3 linked regions of the Sus scrofa genome follow. The protein of the gene in region 1 purifies or fractionates together with the protein of each later gene. This does not show direct contact. Links are inferred from orthologs where the notes say so. Each region holds a gene or a part of one and is shown in the gene's direction. Other genes may lie near its edges. The genes, in order: CLSPN, CDC45 and ATR.

What was found.
Region 2: the proteins of CLSPN (region 1) and CDC45 purify together in Homo sapiens (affinity purification with western blotting; 4 studies listed by BioGRID and IntAct, with this or other methods). This does not show direct contact. The link is inferred for Sus scrofa from reciprocal best matches to the Homo sapiens genes CLSPN and CDC45.
Region 3: the proteins of CLSPN (region 1) and ATR purify together in Homo sapiens (affinity purification with western blotting; 3 studies listed by BioGRID). This does not show direct contact. The link is inferred for Sus scrofa from reciprocal best matches to the Homo sapiens genes CLSPN and ATR.

Annotation. Positions count from the first base shown.
Region 1 is NC_010448.4:91,920,823-91,925,169, reverse strand, and holds part of CLSPN (claspin), read left to right. Parts: intron 1-2,855; coding exon 2,856-3,097; intron 3,098-3,982; coding exon 3,983-4,161; intron 4,162-4,347.
Region 2 is NC_010456.5:51,131,616-51,136,524, forward strand, and holds the start of CDC45 (cell division control protein 45 homolog), read left to right. Parts: upstream 1-1,506; 5' UTR 1,507-1,921; coding exon 1,922-1,972; intron 1,973-2,102; coding exon 2,103-2,162; intron 2,163-2,821; coding exon 2,822-2,914; intron 2,915-4,545; coding exon 4,546-4,683; exon of another isoform or gene 4,684-4,739; coding exon of another isoform or gene 4,740-4,883; intron 4,884-4,909. Other genes in the region: UFD1 (ubiquitin fusion degradation protein 1 homolog), read right to left, coding at 1,060-1,062. UniProt on the Homo sapiens protein: Required for initiation of chromosomal DNA replication. Core component of CDC45-MCM-GINS (CMG) helicase, the molecular machine that unwinds template DNA during replication, and around which the replisome is built.
Region 3 is NC_010455.5:83,174,378-83,178,710, reverse strand, and holds the end of ATR (serine/threonine-protein kinase ATR), read left to right. Parts: intron 1-926; coding exon 927-1,032; intron 1,033-2,654; coding exon 2,655-2,828; 3' UTR 2,829-3,196; downstream 3,197-4,333. UniProt on the Homo sapiens protein: Serine/threonine protein kinase which activates checkpoint signaling upon genotoxic stresses such as ionizing radiation (IR), ultraviolet light (UV), or DNA replication stalling, thereby acting as a DNA damage sensor.

The DNA of each region.
Region 1 (4,347 bases):
TAGCACCTTTAGCGTGATTCATGTGTCACGTTGCCTAGATGTGTAGAATGGTGGGTAAGATGACTTTATTTCTTAAAATAGCCTTTGTCTTATTATTTAAAAAATATATATATCTGGGGGTTCCCATCTTGGCTTAGTGGAAACAAATCTGAATAGCATCCATGAGGACGCAGTTTCAATCCCTGGCCTTGCTCTGGGTAAAGGATCCAGTGTTGCCGTGAGCTGTGGTATACATTGCAGATGCAGTTTGGATCCCACGTTGCCGTGGCTGTGGCATAGGTTGGCAGCTGTAGCTCTGGTTCTATCCCTAGCCTAGCAACCTTCATATGTCTCGGGTGCAGCCCTAAAAAGACTACACACACACACAGACACACACACACACACACACACACGTACATATATATATAGTGTGCAGCCCTAAAAGCAAAACAACAACAACGTGACCATACATGAATTCTGCTTTGTAATCTGCTTTTTTGTTTTAGCAGTGTATTATGGACAGGTCTGTTGTTCCCACTCCCACTTTGAAAGTACAAGTAATATATTACATAGAAAAAAACTAAAACACTTAGGGGAAATGTATAAAATGAAAAATTAGCCTTCCCGAAGGCAACTGTTAACAGTTATTTGTGTCCTAGGAAAATTCATATGTATTTTCATATTCATATCATTGTGTGTGTGTATGTGTAAGAGAGAGATTGAACACTTTCTGCTAGGATTCCTCTAGGTGTTTTACAGGAAATAGCATTAGTATCCTTATTTTATATATGAGGAAACTGATAAACCATTTAAACAACTTGCTCAGGTTTACACAGCTAGTAAATAGTAGAACTAGCAGCCTAATCCATACCACCTAACTCAAGAGCTCAGTTGCTCATATTGTGTTTGACGTTTTTCTAAGAGCTGCATAATATTCCATTGTGTAAATATAATATGATTCGTTTAACAGTATTCCTCTTAATGGACATCTTGTTTGTTCCAGTTTTTGGAATTTCATACAGTGTTGTGTCCTAGTATTAGATATATGTTGGTAATTCTGGAGGCAAAATTCCTTACAATGGAATCAATGAGTCACATTTTGATATATATATATCATCCCATTATCCTTCAAAGTACTTATATTAATTTACACTCTGAATCACCGTGTGTAATAAGAGTTGCTGTTAATAATGGATATTATCAAACCTAATTTTTTCCAAATATGTATAAAAATAGTGTCTCATTGTTTAGATTTATATTTCTTTTTTCTTTTTTTTTTTTTTTTTTTTTTTTTTTTTTGTCTTCTTGCTATTTCTTGGGCCGCTCCCGCAGCATTTGGAGGTTCCCAGGCTAGGGGTCTAAACGGAGCTGTAGCTGCCACCCTACGCCAGAGCCACAGCAACGCAGGATCCGAGCCGCGTCTGCAACCTACACCACAGTTCATGGCAACGCCGGATCGTCAACCCACTGAGCAAGGGCAGGGACCGAACCGGCAACCTCATGGTTCCTAGTCGGATTCGTTAACCACTGTACCACGACAGGAACTCCCTAGATTTATATTTCTTTAATGAAAAGTGAGGTTAAGAAATTTTAATTTGTTTATTAATAATATGTGTTAATTTTTCTGTGAACTACCAGTTCACATCCTTTGTCCATTTTACTCTTGAGTTGTTTCTCTTTTTCTTTAATGTAGATAATTTATCAGTATTTTCCTTTGTGGCTTCTGAGCCAGAGACTTTTTAAAATTTAATTTAATTTTTTTTTTTTTTTTGCTTTTTAGGGCCACACATGGAAGTTCCCAGGTTATGGATCAAATCAGAGCTACAGCTGCTGGCCTACACCACAGCCATAGTAACTCAGGATCTGAGCCACATCTGCAACCTACACCACAGCTCATGGCAATGCCGGATCCTTAGCCCACTGAACAAGGCCAGGGATTGAACCTACATCCTCATGGATCCTAGTTGGGTTCATTAACTGCTGAGCCATGAAGGGAACTCCCCAGAGACTTTTTTTTTAATTGAAGTATGGTTGATTTACAATGTTGTGTTAGTTTCAGGTGTATAGCAGAGTGATTCAGTTAATAAATATATATATATATATTTTTTTTTTCAGATTCTTTTCTGGTTATTACAAGGTATTGAATATAGTTCTGTGTGCTAAATAGTAGGTCCTTGTTGTGCCAGAGACTTTTGAAGTCTCACTCTTCCCTCACTTTGTAGTAATAATTTTATAATCTCTATAATATATTATCCCGAGGTATAGAACATAATTCTGGAAGTGATCTTCTACACTCAGTTCATAATAATCCCCATTTCTTTGTTTGGCCACACCCATGGTATGCGGAAGGTCCCAGGCCAGGGATCAAACCCGAACCACAGCAGCCATCCAACCCCCAATGCTTGATCCTTAACCCACTGAGCCATACAGGAACTCCTAATCCCCATTTGTTAAGATAACAAAAGCCTAGGAGTTCCCATTGTGGCTCAGTGGTAACGAACCTGACTAGTAACCATGAGGACACAGGTTTGATCCCTGGCGTTGCTCAGTGGGTTAAGGATTCAGTGTTGCCATGAGCTGCGGTGTAGTTCACAGACGCAGCTTAGATCTGGTGTTGACGTGGCTGTGCCATAGGCCAGCAGCTGCAGCTCCAGCTCCAACTCGACCCCTAGCCTGGGAACCTCCATATGCTTCGAGTGTGGCCCTAAAAAAAACAAAAACAAACAAACAAAAATAAAAGAAAAGCCTAGAGGTCACCGACTTTCCTTTTGGGATGTGTCTAGAATACTTCTGGAATTGCTTAAAATACTCACTTGCATTGTTGTCCTGTGTAGTCAGTCATTACAGTTAAAGCATCTCTTCATATTTCTCTTCAGGGGAAAAGCTTCAGGTGCTGAAAGCTAAACTGCAAGAAGCAATGAAACTCCGAAGGTTTGAAGAACGCCAGAAGCGCCAGGCATTACTCAAGTTAGATAATGAAGATGGATTTGAAGAAGAAGAGGAGGAGGAGGAAGAAATGACAGATGAGTCTGAGGAAGATGGAGAAGAGGAGGGAGAGGAAGCATTAGAGGAAGAAGAGGAGAAAGAAGAGGAAGAGGAGGAAGAAGGCAATCAGGAGGTTTCTGGCAATTATGTGATTTTGTTACTAGGTCATGGTAAATAAGAGAAGGAGAAAATAAGATTTGAGTAAGAGTATAGTGAACACATTCAGTTGTATGAGATTTTAGGGGCAGAGATAAATGTAGCTCATATGTATCTAAATTTTAGTGCATACATTTCACAGAGCCAGAGCCTTGGCTTCTACGTGTTGGCTTACACATTGTAATATAATGCTAATATCAAAATGACTTCGTATGAATAGACTTTTTTCCTTGTTTTCTCTATTCAGAATAAAAAAGGACTCTTTTAACCTTGGCTAGGTTGAGGTCTGGAGTATTCTCAAGCTAAGACCTTCCTGAGTTAATTTCTTTCTTCATTAAGGAGAGTATTTGTAAAAGGACCTCTTGCCTTTATTTCCATAGTATTGTTTTCCACCTATAGAAGACAAATGATAGGATTTTTAGTATTAGAAAACAGAAAAGCATCCTTGTCAGAATGCTGGAATCATTTGAAAGAGCTGATTAATGTTTAACCCTAAGTAAAGGGAAGAGAAAAGCCATGGCTGAGTTGGGCAGGATTTTACAGTCTGTGGTTGGTTTGAGGTCATTTGTTGTCTTGCAGTCTTAGGCTAATCATGTAACCTGTCATTGACACAATAAAATTATAATCCAGTCTTTTTTCATAATCTTGTAACGGTTTGGTGAGAGTAAAAGGTAAAATGACATAGATATAAAAGAGCTCTAGAAGTGCCAGGGAGAATTATATTAATGACAATTGTTAGACCAAGCCTCCTTCAGGTTAACCTTTTCAGATTTAAGATATGACTAGTAACCAAGCAGCATATTTCAGGCTAACTGTGTTTGCTTTTAAAATTTTTGACTTGTATTATTTTGTTTTGGTAAAGATGGCAGAATTCCATCTCGATAGTGAAGAAACAGAAACCAAAGATGAGAAAGAAATGGATAAAGAAAACAATGATGGCAGTGATGAAAATGACAAGTCAGTTGGCCTTCTCTCTGTTCCCAAGCCTCTCTCATCAGATTCTACCTTCCTTTTATTTAAGGACAGCTCTTCCAAGATGGAGTAAGTAAATCTCTCTAAGAAAAGATTAAGATTCCTTGGTATTTGCCCCTCCAGTAAGAAGCAGAAACAGGGAGTTCCCATTGTGGTTCAGCAGAAACATCTGACAAGCATCCATGAGGACATAGGTTCAATCCCTGGCCTTGCTCATTGGGTTAAGGATCCGGTGTTGCTGTGAGCTCTGGTGTA
Region 2 (4,909 bases), on another chromosome or scaffold:
CAATTTTTCAAGATAAAAAAGTTCTGTAGATCTACTATGCAACAATGTGAATGTACTTAACACCACTAAACTTTACACTTAAAAATGTACAAACTGGAGTTCCCGTCGTGGCTCAGTGGTTAACAAATCCAACTAGGAACCATGAGGTTGTGGGTTCAACCCCTGGCCTTGCTCAGTGGGTTAAGGATCCAGCGTTGCCGTGAGCTGTGGTGTAGGTCGCAGACGCAGCTCAGATCCCATGTTGCTGTGGCTGTGGCCTATGCCAGAGACTACAGCTCCGAACAGACCCCTGGCCTGGGAACCTCCATATGCCGCGGGAGCGGCCCTAGAAAAGACAAAAAGACAAAAAAAGGGGGGAGGAAAAAAAAAAAACAGAACTCAGTTCAACAAAATCATGGCCAGAGGCATAACAAATACACGGCGCTTCTGCTTCTGGGTGAGTGGGCGCCTCGTCACTCGAACCCCACCTCTAAGCCCTTTCTTCTGGGTGCAACACAAAAAGGACCGCGTACACAAGGTGTTGAACACCGGGTCCCAACCTGCCCTCAACCTTCCCCTTATGATCCCGACGCGGAGCGCTCAGCCCAGAGCACGAGGATACTCGCTTGTTCGGTGGACTGGGCACTGACGCACTCAGCTTAAACTCTTGACAAAGCAAACGCGCGACCCTCTGGTGACAAACAGCGGTACAGCCAGGCCTGACTTCCAAGTCTCACTCCCCCAGCCTCTACACCTCGCCCCCGCCTCCAGAGGCATCGCTGGGGCCCAGGACTGAGAGGTAAGAGGGCCAGGGGAGCCACGGGCAGCGTGGCGGCGTCGCAAGCCGGCAGGGCTCAGTTGGGGGACGGGCCCCGAGCGCCCGCGCCCTTGCCCCTCAGCCTACCAGTCCATCCAGGGCTCGTTTGAGGGAAGCCGTCACAGGTCTAGAGCCTCGAAACGGAGGGCGAAGGCGCCCGCGGAAGGCTCAGGCCGGTGAGTCGGCACCTCCTCGGCTGCACGTTCGCTCGCCGAGCTCCCGCCCCGCCCCCGGCCCCGACCCCAGCCTGCCCCGCCACTCACCATGGTGGACCCCTCGGCCTAGCAGGTGCGCTTTGCCAAAGAACGTTGCGGTGGAAGCCGACTTCTCCTCACAGCCGCCGCTACCGCCGCCGCCTCGCGCGGACATCCGGGACTCACCGGAAATACCGCACCTACACTTCCGGGAGAGGCGCGCGAGGAGGGCGCAGCTGGGTCAAGGGACAAAGGCAAAGGCGCCAGGGTACAAGGTTTCCTTGAGTGAGCGCTTAAATACCCCTTCCTTCCTAACATGTGCACTCTAGACTACCTTTCATGATTATTTTAAACTGCAGTTTGACAGTGCCCCCTCCAGAAGAGTTTGATGGGATTAACGCCCCTTCCGCTTAAGTTACCCAGAATGCACGCAGACCTCCGGCGTCTGCCGCGGCCATCCAAGACTCGGGCGGAAGTAAGACACCCTTCCGCCCTTGAACCAGGCCGCGAGCCAATTGAAATCCTAAACGGAAGCACTCTTTGATGTACACACGAATTTAATTTGCAGAGGGAAGGTTTCTTTTTTCTAGAGGTCTCAGTGAGGGGCAGTAGGCTTTTCTTCCCAAAGTAAAGATAAACACCGAGCGTCGGGTTTCCAGTTAAACGGAGTCAGCGTTAACATGCGCAACCACCAGCGCGTCCAGCCTGTGGCAGATGCCCCTTTGGGGCAGGCCGAAGTCTTCCAGCCGTGAACGGCGGAGCGCTAGTGCCCGCCCTCCAAACAGGCCAATCAGAAAGGAGAAAAGTCTGGGAGCCGAGGGTCGCTGGTTTGTCCCTGGGCCAATCGAAAGAGCCCTGATTTGGCGGGAGTCTTGACGGTTTCCGGGCTCTCGGTCCCCGCGCGCGTTCGGGCTATCCCGCCGCCGTGGCCATGTTCGTGTCCGATTTCCGCAAGGAATTCTACGAGGTGGTCCAGAGTCAGGTGATCCCTGCCTTGGGCGCCCGAGGCCTTGTCGGGGAAGGGCTGAGGGGGTGTGGCCGTGGGGGGCGGGAGGGGCCGGGATTCGTGTATAAACGCTCGGCAAACTCGCTCCCCCCCTCCCCCCCGGTAGAGGGTCCTTCTCTTCGTGGCCTCGGACGTGGACGCTCTGTGCGCTTGCAAGATCCTTCAGGTGAGGCTGCAGACCTGGCCGGCGGGCGGGGGACAGGGCAAGGGAGGGGAGGGACAGGGCAAGGGTGGGGGTCAGGGCAAGGGGAGGGGGGACAGGGCAAAGGGAGGGGGGAACAGGGCAAGGGGAGGGGCGGGGCAAGGACCCCCTCCTGGGCGAGAGCTCGGCCTGGGGCGAGGGCTCTTCCCTGGCGGGACAGTGTTGGGTGGGTTAGAGGAGAACTAAGCAGAAAGCAAGGAGACTAGTTAGTGTGTCTGCAGTAACCTAGGCTGCATCGGGGAGACCTGAGACCCGTAGCGGCTTCTTTCTGTGGGGTTTGAGGCAGAGGGCTGCGGGCACCCTGGTGTCATAAGCAGTCCCGGAGATGACGATTCTTGTTAGAAAAGGTCGCTGCACAGAGTGTAGTGTTTCCATGAACTTCGATTAGGCCCTTGGGTCAGGATCCGCTCAGAAAACCTAGGTCAGCTTTCCAACCGTGTTTTCCTTTAGTGGTTTTCAGCGAAGTTGACAGAATGGTACAGTGAACATTTGTGTGCCCATCATCAACATTTTACTAACCTTACTTTATCAGGTGTTTTTATCTTTCAACTCTTTTTTTTTTAAGTGCATTTCAAGGTAGATTGCAGACATCCTAATAGGTTTTGAAAATACTCTTTCTCCAGGCCCTGTTCCAGTGTGACCACGTGCCATATACGCTGGTTCCAGTTTCTGGGTGGCAAGAACTTGAAACTGCATTTCTTGAGCATAAAGAGCAGGTATGAGAGATGCATTTGAGAATAGTAGGCTTCTTTAGGGAGTTCCCTTCGTGGCTCAACAGTTAACAAACCCGAGGATGTGGGTTCGATCCCTGGCCTAGCTCAGTGGGTTAAGGATCCGGTGTTGCCGTGAGCTGTGGTGTAGGTCACAGACATGGCTTGGATCTGGCATTGCTCTGGCTGTGGTGTAGGCTGGCAGCCGTAGCTTTCATTCAACCCCCAGCCCAGGAACCTCCATATGCCGCAGGAATGGCCCTAAAAAGCAAAAAAAAAAAAAAAGAGAGAGAGAGAGAATGGTAGGCTTTTTAAAACTCAACTACAACTTCTTAGCACTGAGCATTCTATTTCTCTAATGTGTTGTGTATATTTTTTACTAGAAATTTGATTAGGCCCTATGGAAAAGTGAGCTATATGTCTGGGTGACTTGACTTATCCTCAAATTGTGGAGACAAAGTCAACAACGAAAAAGAGATAATGAATGTGGAGGGCTTCTAACTTTGATTAGAAGACACATTTCATTGTAAGGTGTTTGGAATTTGGCAGGTTGATTTGATAAGGCCTAGTTAAAATTATTTTAGATTAGGGAGTTCCCACTGTGGCTCAGTGGTAATGAATCTGACTAGTATCTATGAGAACTCAGGTTTGATCCCTGGCCCTGCTCAGTGGGTTAAAAATCTGGCGTTGCTGTGAGCTGTGGTATAGGTTGCAGATGCAGCTCAGATCTGGTGTGTCTGTGGCATAGGTCAGAAGCTGCAGCTCTGATTCAAACCCTAGCCTGGGAGATTCTATCTGCCACAAGTACGGCCCTAAAAAAGACAAAAAACAAACAAAAAAATTATTTTAGACTAGAGTACTGTTTTACGTTTATCTTTCTAAGAAGATGAATCCCAGTTTCCAGGTGGGAATCTAGGAACATAACTTTTCCCTTGCAGTGTAAGCAGTAAAGGCTGGGACTCCTCCCACCTCTGCATGGGGCCATGATGAGAGCGGGCACGTCTCCGACCTCACAACCCCCCCCCCCCCCCGCTGCCCAAGGAGGGGCTGGAGTGTGCATGAGGGTCACTGGAGTTTCTGGCCAAGATACATCCTCACCTGGAGCGCCTATCATCGCAGGAGGGAACTCTACCAACTCAGCATTACAAGGAAAGGACTTTTTATAGTGACAGGATGTAATAAAAGGCTTAGCTTAATATTTAGGTGCTTGTTAGTTGTGGGCTATGCAAGGATTGCTAGCAATTTAAGCCTATACAACACAATTAGCACGGAGAAGCAGTTCATCACAATAGAGTGTCAGGTCAGGAGAGGCCCGGTTACACATATGACCTCTTGGTCTGTCCACCTCAGCTTCTACACCCCATGTGTGAGTCTCAAGTATGCTCAGCCTCTGTCTGCTCCTCACTGAAGCAGGGACACCGTAGGACTCCCCTTACAGTGTCGTGGAAATGAAATAGCGCACAGAGCTGTTAAACACTTGGCACAGGCCAGCCTCGGCCACAATGGACCCCTCGTCATCGGGGCCTCGCCAGCTGGCAGAGGCTGGGTGCCGTTCAGTAGGGCTCAGGCCTCATGCTGCAGACAAACAGGCTCCTCCAGGTGCTCGCTCACTCATGGTGCCCCTCTTCTTTTTCCAGTTCCATTACTTCATCCTCATAAACTGTGGCGCTAACGTGGACCTATTGGATATACTTCAACCCGATGAAGATACCATATTTTTCGTGTGTGACACTCACAGGCCAGTCAATGTTGTGAACGTGTACAATGATACCCAGGTAAGCAGGCCTTTGGGGCCCTGAGTTCTATCCATCTGTCTGTTCCCTTTTTGTGCATGGACAGCACTGCATCTGGTGTTCTTGGCAAGGAGCATGGCCACCTCTCCAGTAGGAGCTGGAGCAGCCTGAAGATGAGAACCCGGTCTTGTCCATCCTGGATGAGAAACACAGCATATACCCTGGAAGTGCTCAGAGTGCATGTATGGAACTTGCTCGACCTGGGAGG
Region 3 (4,333 bases), on another chromosome or scaffold:
GCTGCTACGAGGCTCTTGCATTTCCATTGCATTTTAAGATCATTTTGTAAATTTCTGCAATAAGCCGGCCTGGATTTTGATAGGAATGGCACTGGATCTGTAAATCAATTTAGGGAGTATTGCCATCTTAAAAATATTAAATCTTCTAATCCATGAACATGGGATCTTTCCATTTATTTAAGTCATCTTCAATTTTGTTCAACGTTTTATAGTTATTAGTTTGCAAATCTTGTATTTAACTTTTTAAAGCAGTGTTCCTAAGTATTTTATTCCTTTTAATGCTATTCTAAATGAGACTTTCTTAATTTCATGTTTAGGTTGTTCATTGCTAGTGTACAGAAATATAACTAAATTTTTATATTGATCTTGTATCCTGCAACCTTACTTAACTCATTTATTACTTGTAATAGTTATTTTTATAGATACCTTAAGATTTTCTTTCTGTAAAAGCAGGTCTTCTGTAGATATAGTTGTACTTCTTTCCAGTCAGTCCAGTCTAATCACAATGCTTTTTCATTTTCTGGCCTAATTGCCCTAGCTAAATCAATGTCAAATAGACATGGTGAGATGTCTGTATCCTTGTCTTTTCCTAATCTTAGCGGCAAAGAAGTTGCTCTTTCACCATTCAATACGATGTTAGCTGTGAGAAGTAGTTTTTTAAAAGGACATTTAAAGCTCATTTATTCACTTTTTTATTTAAAATCTGTCTATGAGGCATTATGGTAGAATACATTGGTTAGTTAGACATAGGCAAAAGCAAATTCTCTGAAAGAGGAAATAGAGCATCTTCTGACTTAGTAATGTGTTTTTTAAGAGTATTACCATTAGCTTCTCATCTTTCACTTGCTCTTCACCTAAATGTTGACTTTAGAGTTCTTTTTACAAAGATAACATTGTATTATTACCATAATATTTGTTTCTTTTAGTGTCTTAAAGACTTTTCTACATGATCCTTTAGTGGAATGGAGTAAACCAGTGAAAGGGCATTCCAAAGCAACACTGAATGAAACGGGGGAAGTTGTCAATGAAAAGGTTAGTAGGTGTAGCTCAGTATGAGCTGATATATTTGTATATCTCTGCAAATGGGAATTGATTCTAAATACTGTTATTGACTGCCCATTGAATGCTCTGAAATCTAGTTCTCTAGTATAACAGTGCAACAAGTTTTCTTTACTGTCTATACTGATGTTAACATTATCATCATTTGTATAATAAAAAGAGTTCGCAACTTGCTTATGAAATGGAGCAGGAAAAACACAAATTGCTTGAATTTATAGAGTAGCAAATCTTGGCTTCAATATGTGGAATCCACACTTTATTAACATAGAAGTCCTTCATCCCTTGGTTTCCATGGTGGATAGGCCCCACCCTCTGTGTATGCCAAAATCCTGGGATGCACAAGTCCCTTAAATAAAATGGCATAGTATCTGCATATAACCTGTGTATATCATCCCATACACTTTAAATTATCTCTGGATTACTTATAATACCTAGTGCAATGTAAATGTCATGTAAATAGTTGTAAATACAGTGTAAATGCTAAGTAAATAGTTGCCCATGCATAGGAAATTCAAGTTTTCCTTTCTTGGATAACTTTTATCCTTATTTTCAGTCTGTGGTCAGTTGAATCCTAGATGCAGAGACCAGACTATATTAATTGAAGCCTCAAATTTTGTAGATAGTTATTTCAAATAAGTTAGAATATATTGAGGAATGTTTTTCTAATATCATTCTCATTTTTGCATTCTGATATAATTTCTTGATTGAAAGAAATTTGTAGAATTCCAAGTAGCTCACTTAGAACTCCCATTTGCATGTACTAATATAATGTAAATATTAGGGATTAGAGTATTGTTGCTATTATTAGATTTTTGTTGTTGTTGTTGTTTTGTTTTTTTAGGGCCACACCTGCAACATATGAGGTTCCCAGGCTAGGGGTCAAATCGGAGCTGTAGCTGCCAGCCTACGCCACCACCACAGCAACACAGGATCTGAACGATGTCTGCAACCTACATCACAGCTCACAGCAACACCAGATCCTTAACCCACTGAGCAAGGCCAGGGATCAAACCTGCATCCTCATGTATACTAGTCAGGTTCATTAACCACTGAGCCATGATGGAAACTCCCTAGAATATTACTATTTGGGGCAGGGGCTGCACCTGTGGTATGTGGAAGTTCCCAGGCTAGGGGTCGAAAGCCATATCTGCAACCTACACAACAGCTTGTGACAATGCGGGGTCATTAACCCACTGAGCATGACCAAGGATCAAACAGGCATCCTAACAGACATTATGTTGGGTTCCTAACCTGCTCAAATGTTTAAGCCCTAAACACTTTTCAGGGTAGATTTTTTTATATTATTATTTTTCTAGATTTCTAATGTGTAAGAGATTCCCTGCTATTTCACATAGTCCTGAAAAATGTCCAAACAGTTTATGTTAGATTAACATTGTAAGCCTCAGAAATCAGTATCTCAAGTTATTGTATTTGCTTCATTTCTTCTCTTTTGTCTGTATTTGCTCTTACAAAAGGGGTAATGATCAGTAAAATAGCATTGACATTTATTAAATCACAGAAAGGCAGTAATTCCAGTTCATAAACATCCATATATCATTAAGTCCTAATCCTTATGATTTTCAATTTCTTTTTAGGCTAAGACCCATGTACTTGACATCGAGCAGCGACTGCAAGGTGTAATCAAGACCCGAAATAGAGTGACAGGGTTGCCATTATCTATCGAAGGACATGTGCATTATCTTATACAAGAAGCTACTGATGAAAACTTACTATGCCAAATGTACCTTGGTTGGACCCCATATATGTGAAATGGAATTACTCCAAAGACTCTGTTAATAATCTAAATGTAATGTATTTGGTATTAATTTGTGGTTCTATCTATTCACTTCTAAAGTACAACATATGTTTATGTTCTCAGAGTAACTGATATTTCTCCCTGATTGTTAATAATATTTAAAATAATATATGTTAAGAAATAAACTGCTTTCTTAATATGTAGTGTGTATTATAACCAACCAGAGAAATGGAATATCATATGTTCTTATGCTCTGAAAAGATGTATTTGCAAGAAACAAGCCAGCCTAATTTCATTTTACAACTTTCACTGATTTTAAGTACTAGGATAAGGATTCATCTGAACAGCAAAAAATTATATTCAATAAATACTGTAGACAAAGCACTATGGTATATTTATGCACAGAGCTAGGTTCCTTGCTCTCTGGTAACTGTCTAGTTAGAGAGGTATAAATAGCACATCCTTAGGCTCACTTAATAAAACTGTTTTTTTTTTTTGTATAGTTGAAAATGTGGTGGAGGAAAAAAAACACATTAGCCAATTTGCGTGAATATCAAAACTATATAAATATTCTGTAATCTTGAAGATGCTGCCATGCCAAAAGTGTACTGGAATGCAGAATTCAGTGGTTTTGAGAAATAGCAATACTTAAAATTTCATGCGATTCTAAAATCTAAGAACTTTTTAATGTCATTAAATTTGGGGGCTACTATTGCAGAAGATTTTAAATAATTCATAATAATTACAAAGCAGGTTATTACATACAAATAAATGGAGAGCTTTTTATAACAAAGATAATTTCACTTAAATTCACATAGAATGCTGCCTTTTGTTAGAGCTGTAAGTGTGATGGGGAAAATATAGTAACCCAAGAAGTATAAATGTGAAAACTAAACATTACTTTCCTATCAAAGGCCCAATATTAAGAGTGAAGTAGGAAGCTGGGTGGGGGTGGAAGAGAGTTAAATTGTTTTTGGCAAATAACTTAGAAAAATTTTAAAAGAAACTCTGCTGTAGGTTTACAATGCGCGAAGAAAAAACAATTTCCCCTCACAGAAAAAAGTAAACCAAATAAATCACCAGACCTTTCCAAATGTGTGTTGAAAAGTAGTGAGAATGGTAATCGCAGGAGCCCGAAGCAGCCAGCACAAGACAGTGTTAAGCCGTCTCCGGAGGTTTTCACACCCTTCAAATCCACTTAGAGAGCGATCAACTGACGTTTTCAGAACTAAATTTAACACAAACGCTCAAAACCGCTTCCGCTTGCTTAGAGGTAACTACGCTAGCGGGGCGACGGCGGGTTAGAGCCGAGATAGACCCCGCCCCGGGATGCGGCCCGAATCCGGCCGCTCTAGCCACGGCGGGCGCTCTCTATGGTCGGGCGGGCGGTGTGTTGTCATCCGCGGAGCGACGGCCCGGAGGCGGCGGCGTAGGCCACGGCGGGGCGTTTGGTTTCGCTTTGGCCCTGACTGGAGTTAGTATTGACGGTCGAAATGGGAGTCCCTAAGTTTTACCGAT